2 linked regions of the Stegostoma tigrinum genome follow. The protein of the gene in region 1 interacts with the protein of each later gene in a pairwise test. Links are inferred from orthologs where the notes say so. Each region holds a gene or a part of one and is shown on either strand. Other genes may lie near its edges.

Region 1 (6,922 bases):
ACCCTTGTTGAAGAGCCTGAGTTACTCAGCATCTTCATTTCATGGTTTGGGAGAATTTGTTTCAACAGATGACCTTTCAACATCACACCAGCATCTTTCAGGGATCGTATCACATTTCCAAGGAGGATTGGAGGGAGTTATATGTCACATGGATGACGTTGTGATCTATGCGTCTACTCAGAACATGACACTGGAGTGAAGTGTGAACTATGCTGCAGTATTTACAGGAAATGTAATGACTGTTTAGTTCCTTTGGCCTAATATAGTTACATCCAGTGTCAGAGTTGACAAAGAGGGATAAAGCAATCAAAGAGTTTCCAGCTCCTCAGAACTTGACTGAGCTCCACAGATTTGTGGGATTAATAAGCCAAGTCAAAACCTAGCTGTCATCACAGAGCCACAATGTATTACAATATGTACAACTATTACAATATGGCAAGACAAGGTGCTGAGAAGCACAGAACTTCTTTTGAAGAAAATCAGATCACACAATATTTTAGCTCAATATGACCCAGAACTACACATCATTATGGCTGCGAACCCACGTTCTACAGAACTGGGAGCTACACTGTTTCAGATAAAGCCTGATGGAAAGTGTAGCTCAATTTATTACACCTGTTCCATGACAGACAAATGATAAACAAAGATATGCAGTGATAAGGAAAGACTCATTAGACACTACAGATTCGTGGAAAGTTCAAATTACGTTACTGGTCTTCACTATACAATGGAGATGACCAGAAACCCTTTAACAACAGTTTTAAATTCTAAGGAGTTGACTAAAATGCCATCATGAGTGCAATGATTCAGACTGAAGATAATGTAATTTGATGCAAAGACAGCACATATTCTGGGGAAACAACAGATGCTTTGTCACACATTTTCTCATGGCAAGTCCTGAACAAGGTGATGTGGTTTTCGTTAAAGTGGTGGAAACCTTTACATCAAAAGGAACCAAACTCTTCCAACAATAATTCAGCAGTTAAATGAAATCAGAGATGGACAGAAAACTGATGGAGAATGTGTGCAGGTCAACAATACCACGCCAAAGGATAGCCAACGTACATGTCACACAAACCCATTCTCGGACTGTATAATGAGGGAGGACATAGCTTAGTACGGTGGATGATCTACTTCTTGTGACGAGAGGTCAGTTATTCTGAGAGTCCTCTGAGACTTGATAAACTTCACCAATTACAGAGAGGACATCTGGGCATCAGAAAATGTCAAGCCAGAACAAGACATTCTGTTTGCTGACCATGTCAAAAATTAATAGAAGAGATCATATCAGGCTGTATTACTTGTAAAGTTTATTGTCAGGAGAACCATTAATATCATCTTCCTATCCATCCAGGCCATGAGAACATCTTGGGGTGGACCTCTGAACAAAGTAAAATGAAACGATAGATATGTCAAGGAACTCCATGGCCACAGTGATTACATGGCTGAATGAGATAGCTGCAACACAGGATATCCCAGAATTTATCATCATGGCAGGCCGCAGATTGGCAACATTTTGAAGAGGTCACAGCATCACATGCATGTGTCCAAACTGCAAGCTTAACAAGGCACCCTCAAGCCAATAGTGAAGCTGAATGAGGAATGTAAAAACACTGAAGAACAACATTTAACGTGAGCTATCATATCACTCCAAAATAGTTCAGCTTTGTGTCAACTCTTCCTTGGAAAGATAAAGAACCAAATGCTATGGGATAAAGTTTCATATGACCTAATGTCATCCAAATGTTTCTCTTGCAATCTCACGGCCAGACGAAGCTAGTTCTATGTTTCTTAAAATAACGTTAACGTTTCTTTAGCTCAACATACGCTAAGTATTCAACGGAAGATCGAAGACTTTAATGCCATGAGGTTGATTCCCAACATAACTAACTTTGCCGCACTTTCTTTAAATTAATTGTGGCGAATGGCAGCAGCTGTGTTTGCACTAAAGCATTCCAGAAGTCCACTCAGATTCTTTTACCCCCTCATAAAAAAAAGACAGAAATGAAACTAAATTCAGGAAACAAAGCCCCATTCATAAATTTTAACAGTTCTAAAATTGTGCTAAGAGGATTTGAAAAAAACCCATTGGGGGACGGTTGAGTGAGGTTATGGTTCGTGTAAACAATAGTAACCGCGTGCGCGCGGGAGGGAAACTAGAAGCTTTATTGCACACGTCCACACACAAAACTGACATTCGAGAGGCAGAAAAAATCCTTTTAAACAACAGCTACTTGGAGCTGGTATCCTAAAGTCCCACAGCCAGTGCACCTTTTTACAGAACACTTCTTTTTAACCCTTACAGTGCCTCAAACCTGCGCAATGCATGTTAAGAGATCAAGTCCTCATCCCTTTTCTTCTCTATCCTCAATTCACCCCCACCCAACCAAAAAAGCCGGGACACTTGTTCGAGACTCTTCCCACCCACTACATTAAATCGATGCTGAGTTTAGGCACGAATGCTTCCGCTAGGAGTCTATTTCCTTCTGCAATTTAAATAATGCGATGCTCAAAATAACCATCGCTCCCCTGTCCCTGGAGGGAGAAAGCCAAAAAAGAAAGAGAGCTTGCTTCGCTGCAGGTTTGCGCGCCGCGAAGTGAGCACGAGCCGCTGGCCCGGATCCGCGAGCCGGACCCGGAGCGTTCTATCCGCGTCACGTTCCACGCCGCTTTGCAACAGTGGCTGCAAAAGGATACAGTGTATCCCAACTAATGGATACACAGAGGGAGAACCCAGCCGGGACTCCCCAAACAACTCCGCACAACCCCACATATGCTATCACTGCGTACTGCCAATGAAAACCTGCCGCAAATTATTAAAGCCCTACAAGCAGGATATTAAATAACGCCGCCGGCAATGTTTAAATAGAAACCCTGATGCATATTCAACACTGCAGCCGCCCCTCAACTTTTGCAAAGAGAAACAATTCCTCCACCCCCCCACCAATACACACCCCATGTCGTTTCTTCGCTCTGTTCCCCCCCGCTTGCGCTCTCACTCATATCACACACAAGCTTTTGGCGCCATATTAATGACGTACTATATTATTTCCATCATCAGCGACCTTCGGAATTAAATTGCTGAACTAAAAGCCCCTTTGCAGGCCAAACTCGGCCAAGAACGGAAAAGACATCAAAAGCTTGACATTTTTTTTAAATCTCAGATCTCGTCCTCTCTGCTTTCTCTTTCCTCCGTACTGTACTCCCCATCGTCCTGCTTTTCTTTCCTCCACAATTATTTACAACCCCCCCTTAAATAACGAGCCCAAAAACGCTTAGAAAGTATTGAAAGAGGACAGTACCTGCTGTAATATTTTTGTGTGTGTTTGTATTTGTTTTTGCTTTAAAGCTGGTCTGTTGAGGTGAAACTGGATAGAAATGAAGATTTTTTTGAATGTGGAGTTCAAACAGCTGCAGTAGCAGATTGTGGCTCCCTCTATCTCTCTTTCTCGCTCCCTCTTTCACATATGCACTGACTGACGTTGGTCCTTATGGTGGAGTTGGTTGGGTGAAGGAAGAATTCTGTCTTCTCTTTCTGTTAGTCCACACTTGCTGCCAGACGAGGGAGCACTCCCATGTCTTGTCAACAGCATTACTGTAAACCTCCTTTGCAATCTAGCTTTCGTTTTCCACAGAAAAAAATTCTAAAACTTGATACCTTGTTTAACGTGCGAATTTCAAAAATATGTTCAGGAAGGAGGGTATTTTTTTAAAATGATGCAGTTCTGTTCATACTATGTAGCAAATAAGCTGTGAAGAAGGAATTTGCATCTAATGCCATTTACAACGCATTTTGGAAGCATTAATCCCTTTTCACTGAACACTAAGTGACATCAAGAGTTTAATTGTTATCCATGTTGCGGGTCAGTGCCCTAGCTTTCCTGCATGTTGAAAGGCATGGGTCGGTCCGGATTACATGTTTTGCGAATGGGTACGTTCTATTTGCTAGAAGAAAAAATTGTGACGTCCGAATTTGTGGCCAGAAAATGTGATTTTTTTGTGAAAGAAGAGTAATTACAGGAATGTATTCGATGTCCTTTTCTTTCACTGTCACCTGCAGTATTGTTCAGGTGAAATTGGAGGACGTGGCATTGTAGAGAAGGAGGGAAATGTTGGTACTGCACCGTATTGGGTGAGGGAAGAGGAAATGTTGGCATAAACATCGAAATGCTAGACAAACTGGGCAGGTCTTTTCAGCATCCTCTGAGTGGAAAACAGAGTTAACGTTTCGATTCCGATATGACCCTTCTTCGAAACTCTATTTTCAGATTTCCCGAGTATTCTGCTTATATTTAAGAGAATATTTGCATTTCACTTCAAACAGGCAGGTTTGCTGTTGCTGAAATCGGGGGAGGTCTTCAGGGTTGACAGCAAGTTAAATCCGAAATTGCTGGCTTTGGAGTGAGGCGGAGTTCTTGATGTTCGACAACACGTGGGAAGGGAATATCTCGAAGATCGAGCATGTGAAATAGGAGTGCAACTGATTCGTTTCAGCGAAAATGAAATAAAAACTGCGGGTGCTGAAGGTCTGAAACAGAAAACTGCCGGCGGAATTCAGCAGGTCTGTCCAATTTGTGGGAAGAAAGGAGAATTAACGTTTCGAGTCCAGTGACGCTTCATTAGAACCGATAGTAGTTGGGAAAATGTGGTATTTATGCTAAAGACTAGGTTGTGGAAGCAGGAGATGGGCAGATTGGTCCAAGTGTGTGCGTGAGAGAGAGAGAAGCAAGAAAGCGGGAAGTAAACTACTGGATTATGGATAACAAAGTGTGGAGCTGAATGAACAAGCAGGCCAAGCAGGATCTTAGGAGCACAAAAGCTGACATTTCGGGCCTAGACCCTTCATCACAAAAGGGGGATGGGGAGACCTGTCCGACCACCCTGGACTGACCTATCCCCACCCATACTCTCCTCTCCACTTCTCTTCTCCTCTATCCTTCTGCGGTCCGCCTCCCCCTCTCTCCATATTCATTTCAAAACCCTCTCCCCATCCCCCTTTTCTGATGAAGGGTCTAAGCCCAAAACATTAGCTTTTGTGCTCCTAAGATGCTGCTTGGCCTGCTGTGTTCATCCAGCTCCACACTTTGTTATCTTGGATTCTCCAGCACCTGCAGTTCCCATTATCTCTGATCACAATTGTAATCTTACTGCGATGCCTCCTCCAGGATGCCTAACCTGAAGAAGTTACCCTCCTCCCTCGGAACCAACCTCAGGTGATCTCTCTCCCACTGCAACTCTCTTGTCATCTCCCCTCCCCCCACTGCATCCCAAAACCAGCCCAGCTAGTCCCCGCCTCCCTAACCTGTTCTTCCTCTCACCTATCCCCTCCTGCCACCTCAAGTGGCACCTCCATTTCCTACCTACTAACCTCATCCTGTCCCCTTGACTTGTCCATCCTCCCCAGACTGACCTATCCCCTCCCTACCACCCCACCGATACTCTCTTCTCCACCTATCTTCTACCCGATCCATTTTTGGTCTGCCTCCCCCTCTTTCCCTATTTATTTCAGAACCCTCTCCCCCTCCCTCTTTCCTGATGAAGGGTCTAGGCCTGAAACGTCAGCTTTTGTGCTCCTGACATGCTGCTTGGCCTGCTGTGTTCATCCAGCTCCACACTTTGTTATCTCGGATTCTCCAGCATCCACAGTTCCCATTATCTACTGGATTATAGATGCTAGTCGAGGACAGAAGGGAAAGTAGCTCATTAAATGATAATAAGAGCGTAGGGGAGCAGAGATCCGGTAGTCTGTGCTGAACAAACCACGTCATGGAACCATTGAGATCTATGTCATGACAGAACTGGGTGCAGGGTTGGATATAAATACATTGAAGAATGGAAGCAGGCTGTAAAGTTTATGAACGCAATGTTGAGCCCTAGAGGATGCAATGTTCCCAAGCGGAAAATGAGACACTGTTCTTTCAACTTGTGCTGAGGATCGCTGGAACACTGCAGCAGGCCTGCGGCAGAAATATTGGTGTGGAAACATGGTGGTGTGTTGAAGTGGCGGATGACTGAAAGCTGTGGGCCATTTTCATACCTCTTTCTCTCCGGGCTCCGGGCTCAACAAAATGATTTGGTTGTGATGTTACTGTTTTCCATTAAAGCAAAAGTAAACATCATTTGCTGTAGTTACTTGCTCTTTATCAACCAGAAATTCTCTCCCAAGTTAAAAAAAAGGCATTTGATAGTTTAAATCTGAGCCTTTATCTGAAAAAAACATTTAAACTGCATTCTTCATTTTGTTTGCAAATTACTTATCAAAGCAAAGAAATTCAGGGGTCGTCGTACAACACAAAGGAAAAGCATTGCCGCGTTGCGGATCTGGCAACACCCAGCAAGTAGCTCCTTAAACATCTATCTCAATCTCTGCCCATCCTTTCTGTTATCAGAATAACTTCTAATATCCACAAGGCTCCACCTGCTTTATGAAGACCACTATCATCCTGGTGCCAAAGAAAACTCATGCAGTATGACTCAATGACTACCACCCCATGGCTCTGGCCTCCATAATTATGAAGTACTTTGAGAGGTTAGTAGTGGCTCACATCAACACCTGCCTGCCAAATTGCCTTGACCCTTTGCAACTCATCTACCAGCACAACAGGTCCACGGCAGATGCCAGCTTCCTGGCCCTACCCTCATCCTTAGTACACCTGGATAAAAAGGATACCCACATCAGGCTCCTACTTATTGACTTCAGCCCTCCCTTCAAGAGCATAATTCCAAACAAACACATCTCTAACTTTCAAGACTTAGGTCTTTGCTCCCCCAGCTGTAACTGGATCCTCTATTTCCTAACCCATAGACTGCAATCAGTAAGAATAGGTAATAACAACACTTCAGTCATAATCCTCAACACTGGTACCCTGCAAGGCTGCATACTCAGCCCTATAATGTACTCCTTATACACTCATGGCTGTGT
Region 2 (7,006 bases), on another chromosome or scaffold:
TCCTAGAGGAACAGAGAATTAAAATTGAATGATTGAGTTTGTTTTCCCCCTAGACAGTAGCTGTGGAAGAGTTTGTCAGCTGGTATAACAAATGCAGATTTACCGCATTCTCGGCTGTTTTTTATGTAGAAGGCCATATCATGACAGATTTAGGAACCTGGTAACATAAATTGTGAGTATACAATGATCCACAAAGGTTGGGGACATATCTTCCACTGTCTATTTACCCAATGATGCTACGATACTGGGACAGAATGTGGGACACATTATGTGCAAGCTAGTGGAGAAATCATATCAGGTAATTGCTTGTGAATGCTAACACTTTAATTTCCATTATTAAATTAAACTTATTATTAAACAATGTAAGCAATACACATTCTTTAGGGCATACAAAATTAATTCAAAGAGGTTAGCAGGTGAGATGTTGATGAGCAGCTTGTGCCTACCTCATGTTGAAAGGAGCCATTAATCGGACCACATACTGACGATCTTTGGGAAGTTTGAGTTTTGGGATTTTTGACGGATCAAAGTCCGGTGGGTAGTATTTCTGTTGGAAAGAAAAGAAACACAGTCATCAGCATTCTTTTAGGAATCGTACAGTTTCCTGTTCATTTGTATGCTGAAAAAAGTGATGGATGTTAGAATTCAGAGAGGTATTCAAGCATTTGGTTCATTGGTAAACAGAGTTCCTCCACTGTCCAAATTTCAGAACAGCACACCAGCAGCACTAAAAATTTATCATTTTAACCCTTTAGCCATTCTGTTGACTCTACCACTTGGTACAAAATAAACTGCAGTTTTATGCATTCAATCAACATGTTCGGAATTAGTCTGATACTGCCTGGGCTCATTTCACATACAGCTCTTCCGACCAGTTCATCAGATTCTAGGTTTATTTGTTTCCAAAAAAGATAATGAAATTGGCTAAAAATTAATTCAGTAAAATCCAACCAAATTACAGGTCATGTGTTACCATGAGCACAAACAGACCTTTCTGATAATTTGAAATACCTTTCATGGATATCTTTGATAGGAATATGTTGGACAATGAGGTTACAGATTGTAGTTAAACATAATTCAGTTGTCGCTGGTGGCTTACAATGCCTCCAGGTTTGAATTGCTGGATCTGTTTGAAATATGCTCGAATTAGCACAGTGATAAAGTCACATGACACAAGGATATCCTCAATGAGAAGAGGATTCTGTCTTAACAAGGATGAATCAGGCTTATCATTTATAGAGTCATAGAGCACAGAAACAGACCCTTCAGTCTGATCAGTCGATGCCGAACATAATAGTTCCACCTACCTGCTCCTGGCCCATATCCCTCCAGACCCTTCCCATTCATATATCTATCCAAATATCTTTTGGACATTGGAACTGTACTTGCATCTACCACTTCATCAGGAAGTTCGTTCTACACGTGAACCACCCTCTGTGTAAAACACTTGCCTCATATCTATATAAAATCTCTCTCTTCTCACCTAGAAATGTGTCCCCTAGACTTGAAATCACAAAATCTAGGGAGAAGACAAATAACATGAATTCTATGTATACCTCTCATTATTTTATAATTTTTTATCAGGTCATCTCTCAACCTCCTACGCTCCAGTGGAAAAAAAGTCCCAGCCTACCCAGCCTTCCTTTACAACTCAAACCTACCATTCCTGGCAACATCCTGGTAAATCTCTTCCGAACCTTCTCCAGCTTGATAATATCCTTCCTATAACTAAGCAGCCAGAGCTGGACACAGTATTCCAGAAGAGGCCTCACCAATATCCTGTACAATCTCAATGTAAAGTCCCAACTCTTACACTCAAACGACTGAGCAATGAAGACAAATGTGCCAAATGCCTTTTTAACCACCTTGTCCACGTGTGACACAAACTTTAAAGAATTATGCACCTGCATCCATAGGTCCCTTCATTGTACAACACTACCCAAGGCTCCACCATTATTTGTATAAACCCTACCCTTGTTTGTTGCACCAAAACGCAATACCTCACGTTTATCCACTGAACTCCATCTGCCATTTTTCAGCCCATTGGCCCATTTGATCAAGATCCCTTTGTAATCTTAGAAAACCTTCTTCACTGTCTACAATGTCAATTTTAGTGTCATCCGTAAACTTACTAATCAAGCTTTCTATATTTGAGAGCACTAACAGAACAAGCATGTATGAAGAGACTCTAACCTGATGAAAGAGTGCAAGTACAATATCTGCTATTAGAAAAAAAAACATATTTATACAGATTTTAAAATGCTTAATTAAGCACAATTGAAAATGATATTTTTGTTACCTAAGCAAAAAGATTACAACAATGCAAATAAACGCTTATTAATAAGGGAGAGGACGCAAGAAGAATGATGTACAATTCTTCCAAAAAAATACTAACTGGAGGTTTAAAGGGGCTTCAGCTGTAAAGCAAACCCAGCTTTATTCCATCACAGATGGACTGTCTGATGTGATTATAGTACACAGAACACTGCAGCACAGCACAGGCCCTTTGGCCCTCGATGTTGCGCCGACCTGTGAAACCAATCCGAAGCCTACCAAACCTACACTATTCCATTATCATCCATATGTTTATCCAACGTCCATTTAAATGGACTTAAAGCTGGCGAGTCTAGATGTTCAGTGAGCCTTGGATTTTCGTATGTGAAGGATGGGTGCTGTTCACTGGAGCCAACTGCACCCACTGGGGAACACACACACAGGCAGGGCCCATCTGGGGGGCGCGGGGGTATAATTTGGGACTCACTGGGGTCCCACTGCCAGGCGAGCTGTCCTGGGCTGGTGCTCAGTCTCAGGTGCTAACACCAACGGCCCCACAGGGTGGGGATAGGAACGGGGGGGGTTGTCAGCGGTCACTTTCTGTGTCCAAACACACCCCCAACATTCACATTCTCACTCTCCCCCTCAACCCCACTCACATTCAACACTTTTCTCTCCGACATCTTTCACGAGCCGATGATCTAGGCCCCGCCCCTATTCCGCGCCCATTGGTTCGCATCGCCACCCTTTCCCGCTCCCAATGGTTAATGCAACTGTCAGTCAGCGGCTGCCGGAAGCCGCTCCGCCTGTGCTCCGGCCGGACACCAGCCGTCGTTCCGGTCTCGATCACCAGTTTAGTTATTTCACATTTTTCTCACGTTATTTTTTAGCCGACAAAAGTTTTTTTTGCCAATTTACCGAAACTATTGACATCTCTCTGTAAGCTGTTTGTACCCCTCTCGCAATTTGCCGTTCCATTTATTTTTCAACTGTATTTTCCACCGAATATAACCAGTATCCCTCTATTCCTGTTAAATATTGTACCATATGATGCAAGATGTTTGATGGAATTAACTCACAAAATGTTGAAAAGTTTCCATGCTTTGGGAAGAAGGAATGCCACCATTTTAAATACATAGTCAGAAATCGGACAACACCAGGTTACAGTCCAACAGGTTTATTTGAAATCACAAGCTCTTGCAGGGCTACCCCTTTGTCAGGTGAAGCTTACAGACACAACATTCTTTGGGTAGATATCCTCCAAGGCAGCCTTTGGGATACACAGCAACACAAAATCGCGGACCAGAACCTGACAGTCAAGTAACGTTTCCATGAAGACGGCCTCAACCGTGATCTTGGGTTCATTTCGTGCTACATGTAACCCCACCGCACTGTTCTGTATCTGTAAAATCTTCCTTACTGCCTTGTCTTATCACCATAACCTTGTTAAAGTGCTATGATCTCGCTACTTTTATTAGTTTGTGCAGTTTTGGGATTACTTATTACTTTGATTAGGCTTTGGCATGCGACTCATACCTATCATGTTATTCTAATCATTTGGTTTGTCTCTGCCACCACCTTATTTTTAATTTTTTTGTTATTATCTCTCTGCCTCATTTAATCAGATTATAGGTCATCCCTTCACTTGTTATTCTGCTGTTGACACTTTACTCACACCATCTGACTCTTGATCACCTACAGAGACTTATTATTTGGCCTGACCACACTTCATTCACACCTTTTAGATGATCTTTTGATCTCTGTACCATCGATTTGTCTGCCTATAAATTCTGTGCCTGTTTGGTCTGCTGTCTCATTTCAGCTGACGAAGGGATTGTCTTCCAAAAGCTTGTGATTTCAAATAAACATGTTGGACTATAACCTGGTGTCATCCAACTTCTGATCTTGTCCAACCCATTCCAACACCAACCCCTCCATATTTTGAATACACAGAGACTAGCTACCCCTAGTCCTGAACCAGGTATTAATTTGTAGAATCATAAAGATATAAATAAGTTGCTATGTTTCACATTCACTTTATCCCTCAGTCTCCTGTAACGATTTGACCCTCTTTGACTGCAGTCCTAGTGCCAACAGCCAAAACCTTATTCTTCATGCGTTAATCCAGACATCAAGCCACAATAGGCTATTTGACTGCAGTGGGCATCAGGTAACCAAGTCAAGTCATCTCCACCTGAGAATGTATCTCACCAGTGTGGGCTGGATAGTGATCATAATTTGAATTATCTTCTTCCTTCCCAGCCTGGAGTTGTAACCTTAAAGATTCATTTAAAAAAAGAAAGAAAATTTTTCATTTACATAGTGACATTGACAACTTCAGGATTTGTCACAAGCTTTCCTGTCAACCTGCCTTTCAATCTATTTTTATATCGTTTGCAGATTTGGTTCCAGCACATTCACTTTTTGTCTCCAGGTCTCTGATATATATTGCAAACAGTTGCACTCCCAGCACCGATTCTTGTGGAACCCCAGTGTTTACAGGTTACCAATGTGAAAAAGAACCCCTGATACCCACTCGCTATTTCCTGCCCATTAGCCAATTCTGTACCCATGCTAATGATACTGTAATAATACTGTACCAATACTCACTCATCTCAATCTACATGGACGAGGACAACCACCAATTCGACTGGGACAACACCAAGACCCTGGGACTGGCTAGGCAGAGACAAGCACGAGAATTCCTGGAAGCATGGCACTCCACGAAGCATGCTATTCATCAACACATTGAACTCGACCCCATATACATTCCATTACGAAGGAAACCCGGGGTGATGCAATCCATCTTTACGGACCCCAGCGTTTAAAAACCAGGTGGGAAAACACACTGACACTTCATCAGACGCTGCACTGAGAATGTTATCAAGCATGGCAATGAAATGTCTGCAAAGCAACAAACCAGCTTGGTGAGCCAACCAACCTCAATGCTAATATACTACCTCCAACACTTTGGGCTCTTATGACATAAACTTTTTTGAGATACCTTGTCAAATGCCTTCTAGAAGTCCAAATACAACACATCTGGTTCCCCTCTATCCACTCTTGGTGAAACATCGTCAAAAAAGTCTGATAAATTAGACATAATTGTCCTTTCATAAAGCTGATTTTGTTTGAGTTAATTATGATTTTCCAAATGTTCTGCTTTTACTTCCTTCATAAATGATTCCAGTATTTTTCCAATAAGCGATGTTAGGCTAATCGGCTTATTGTTAACCTCTTTTGCCTCCCTCGTTTTTTGATTAGGGGTGTCACATTGGCAGTCTTGCAATCCTCAGGTATTTCTCTAGAATCCAGTGACTTTTGGAAAATTATAACCAATGCAGCCACTATCTGAGTGGATACTTCTTATAGGATCCTCGGATGTAAGCCATCAGTGGGCCAGGGACTTCTCTGCCTTCAGCTCCATTAGTTTATCTAACACTACTTCTCTAGTGTTGGTATTTAATTTCTCTCTACATCCTTTACTATTAATGGAATTGTTCCACTATAAAGACTGATGAAAAATATTTGATTAACTTCTGCCATTTCCTTGATCCCCATAACTATCTTCCCAGAATTATGTTCTAAAGGTCCTATGTTCACTTTGACCTCTCTTCTTTTTGTATTTATTTAAAGAAGGTCTTATTGCCAGATGTTACATTCCATGCTAATCTGCCCTCATGAACTGTGGCTAATAGATTTGTCCAAACCATAGAATCAGAGAAGCCTCATGGTGCAGAAGGAGATCGTTACGCCACTCTGTACCTTACTGATCTTCCAGCATGGCGTTGTCTTTGACTGAGTGTTACAGACTTGCGCATTCCAAAGTCCGGGATTACAGGCTGAGGGATATGCTAAAGCTTCAGATAGCTGCTGCAGAGGTGAAGTGCAGAAAAGTCATTCAGGTTGTTGAGTAGATTTGTAGCTTGGGTTGTGAATGCTGTGGTTGGTTGGCTCACTGAGCTTGTTCATTATTCCGCAGACATTTCATTACCCTGCTGGGTAACATAATCAGTGCAGCCTCCAATGAAGCACCGTTGTGTTTTCCCACCTGGTATTAAAACTCTGGTTTCTGTTGGATTTGATTACCTCATTTCCGGTTTTCCTTCGCAGTGCTGTATATATATAGGGTCTAGTTCTATGTATTTGTTGTTGGTCCTCTTGGTGGAGAACCAAGCCTTTAGAAATTTCTGTGCTTGTCTCTGTTTGGTCTGTCCTAGGATCCTGGAGTTGTCCCAATCGAACTGGTGGTTCTCCTTATCCATGTAAATGGAGATGAGTGAGTATTGCTTGTGTCTTTTTGTTGCTAGTTGGTGTTCATATAAAAAAAAATGACCAATACTCACTCATCTCCATTTACATGGATAAGAAGAACCACCAGTTCGATTGGGACAACACCAGGGACTTCTAGAGGCTTGGTTCTCCACCAAGAAGACCATCAACAAATACATAGAACTAGACCCTATATATATACAGCGCTGCGAAGGAAAACCAGAAATGAGATAATCAAATCCAATGGACCCCTGAGTTTAAATACCAGGCAGGAAAACACAACAGCGCTTCATCGAGGCTGGAGTGATGATGTTACCCTGCAGGGTAATGAAATGTCTGCGAACGACCAAACCAGCTCGGTGAGCCAACCAGCCACAGAAGAGCCACGATCTAACACCTTTAGCTGGAGCACACTGAGTCTGGAGGCTGTAAAAGCATTTGGTTGTGTGCCTGACGAGGA

The links.
Region 2: the proteins of jade1 (region 1) and yju2 interact in a two-hybrid assay, tested with the Homo sapiens proteins (2 studies listed by BioGRID and IntAct). The two-hybrid records come from large-scale screens. The link is inferred for Stegostoma tigrinum from reciprocal best matches to the Homo sapiens genes JADE1 and YJU2.

Annotation. Positions count from the first base shown.
Region 1 is NC_081354.1:19,716,863-19,723,784, reverse strand, and holds the start of jade1 (protein Jade-1), read right to left. Parts: upstream 3,016-6,922; 5' UTR 3,004-3,015; coding exon 2,955-3,003; intron 1-2,954.
Region 2 is NC_081383.1:33,067,369-33,074,374, forward strand, and holds the start of yju2 (splicing factor YJU2), read right to left. Parts: upstream 3,020-7,006; 5' UTR 2,958-3,019; coding exon 2,934-2,957; intron 2,689-2,933; exon of another isoform or gene 2,563-2,688; intron 548-2,562; coding exon 447-547; intron 1-446.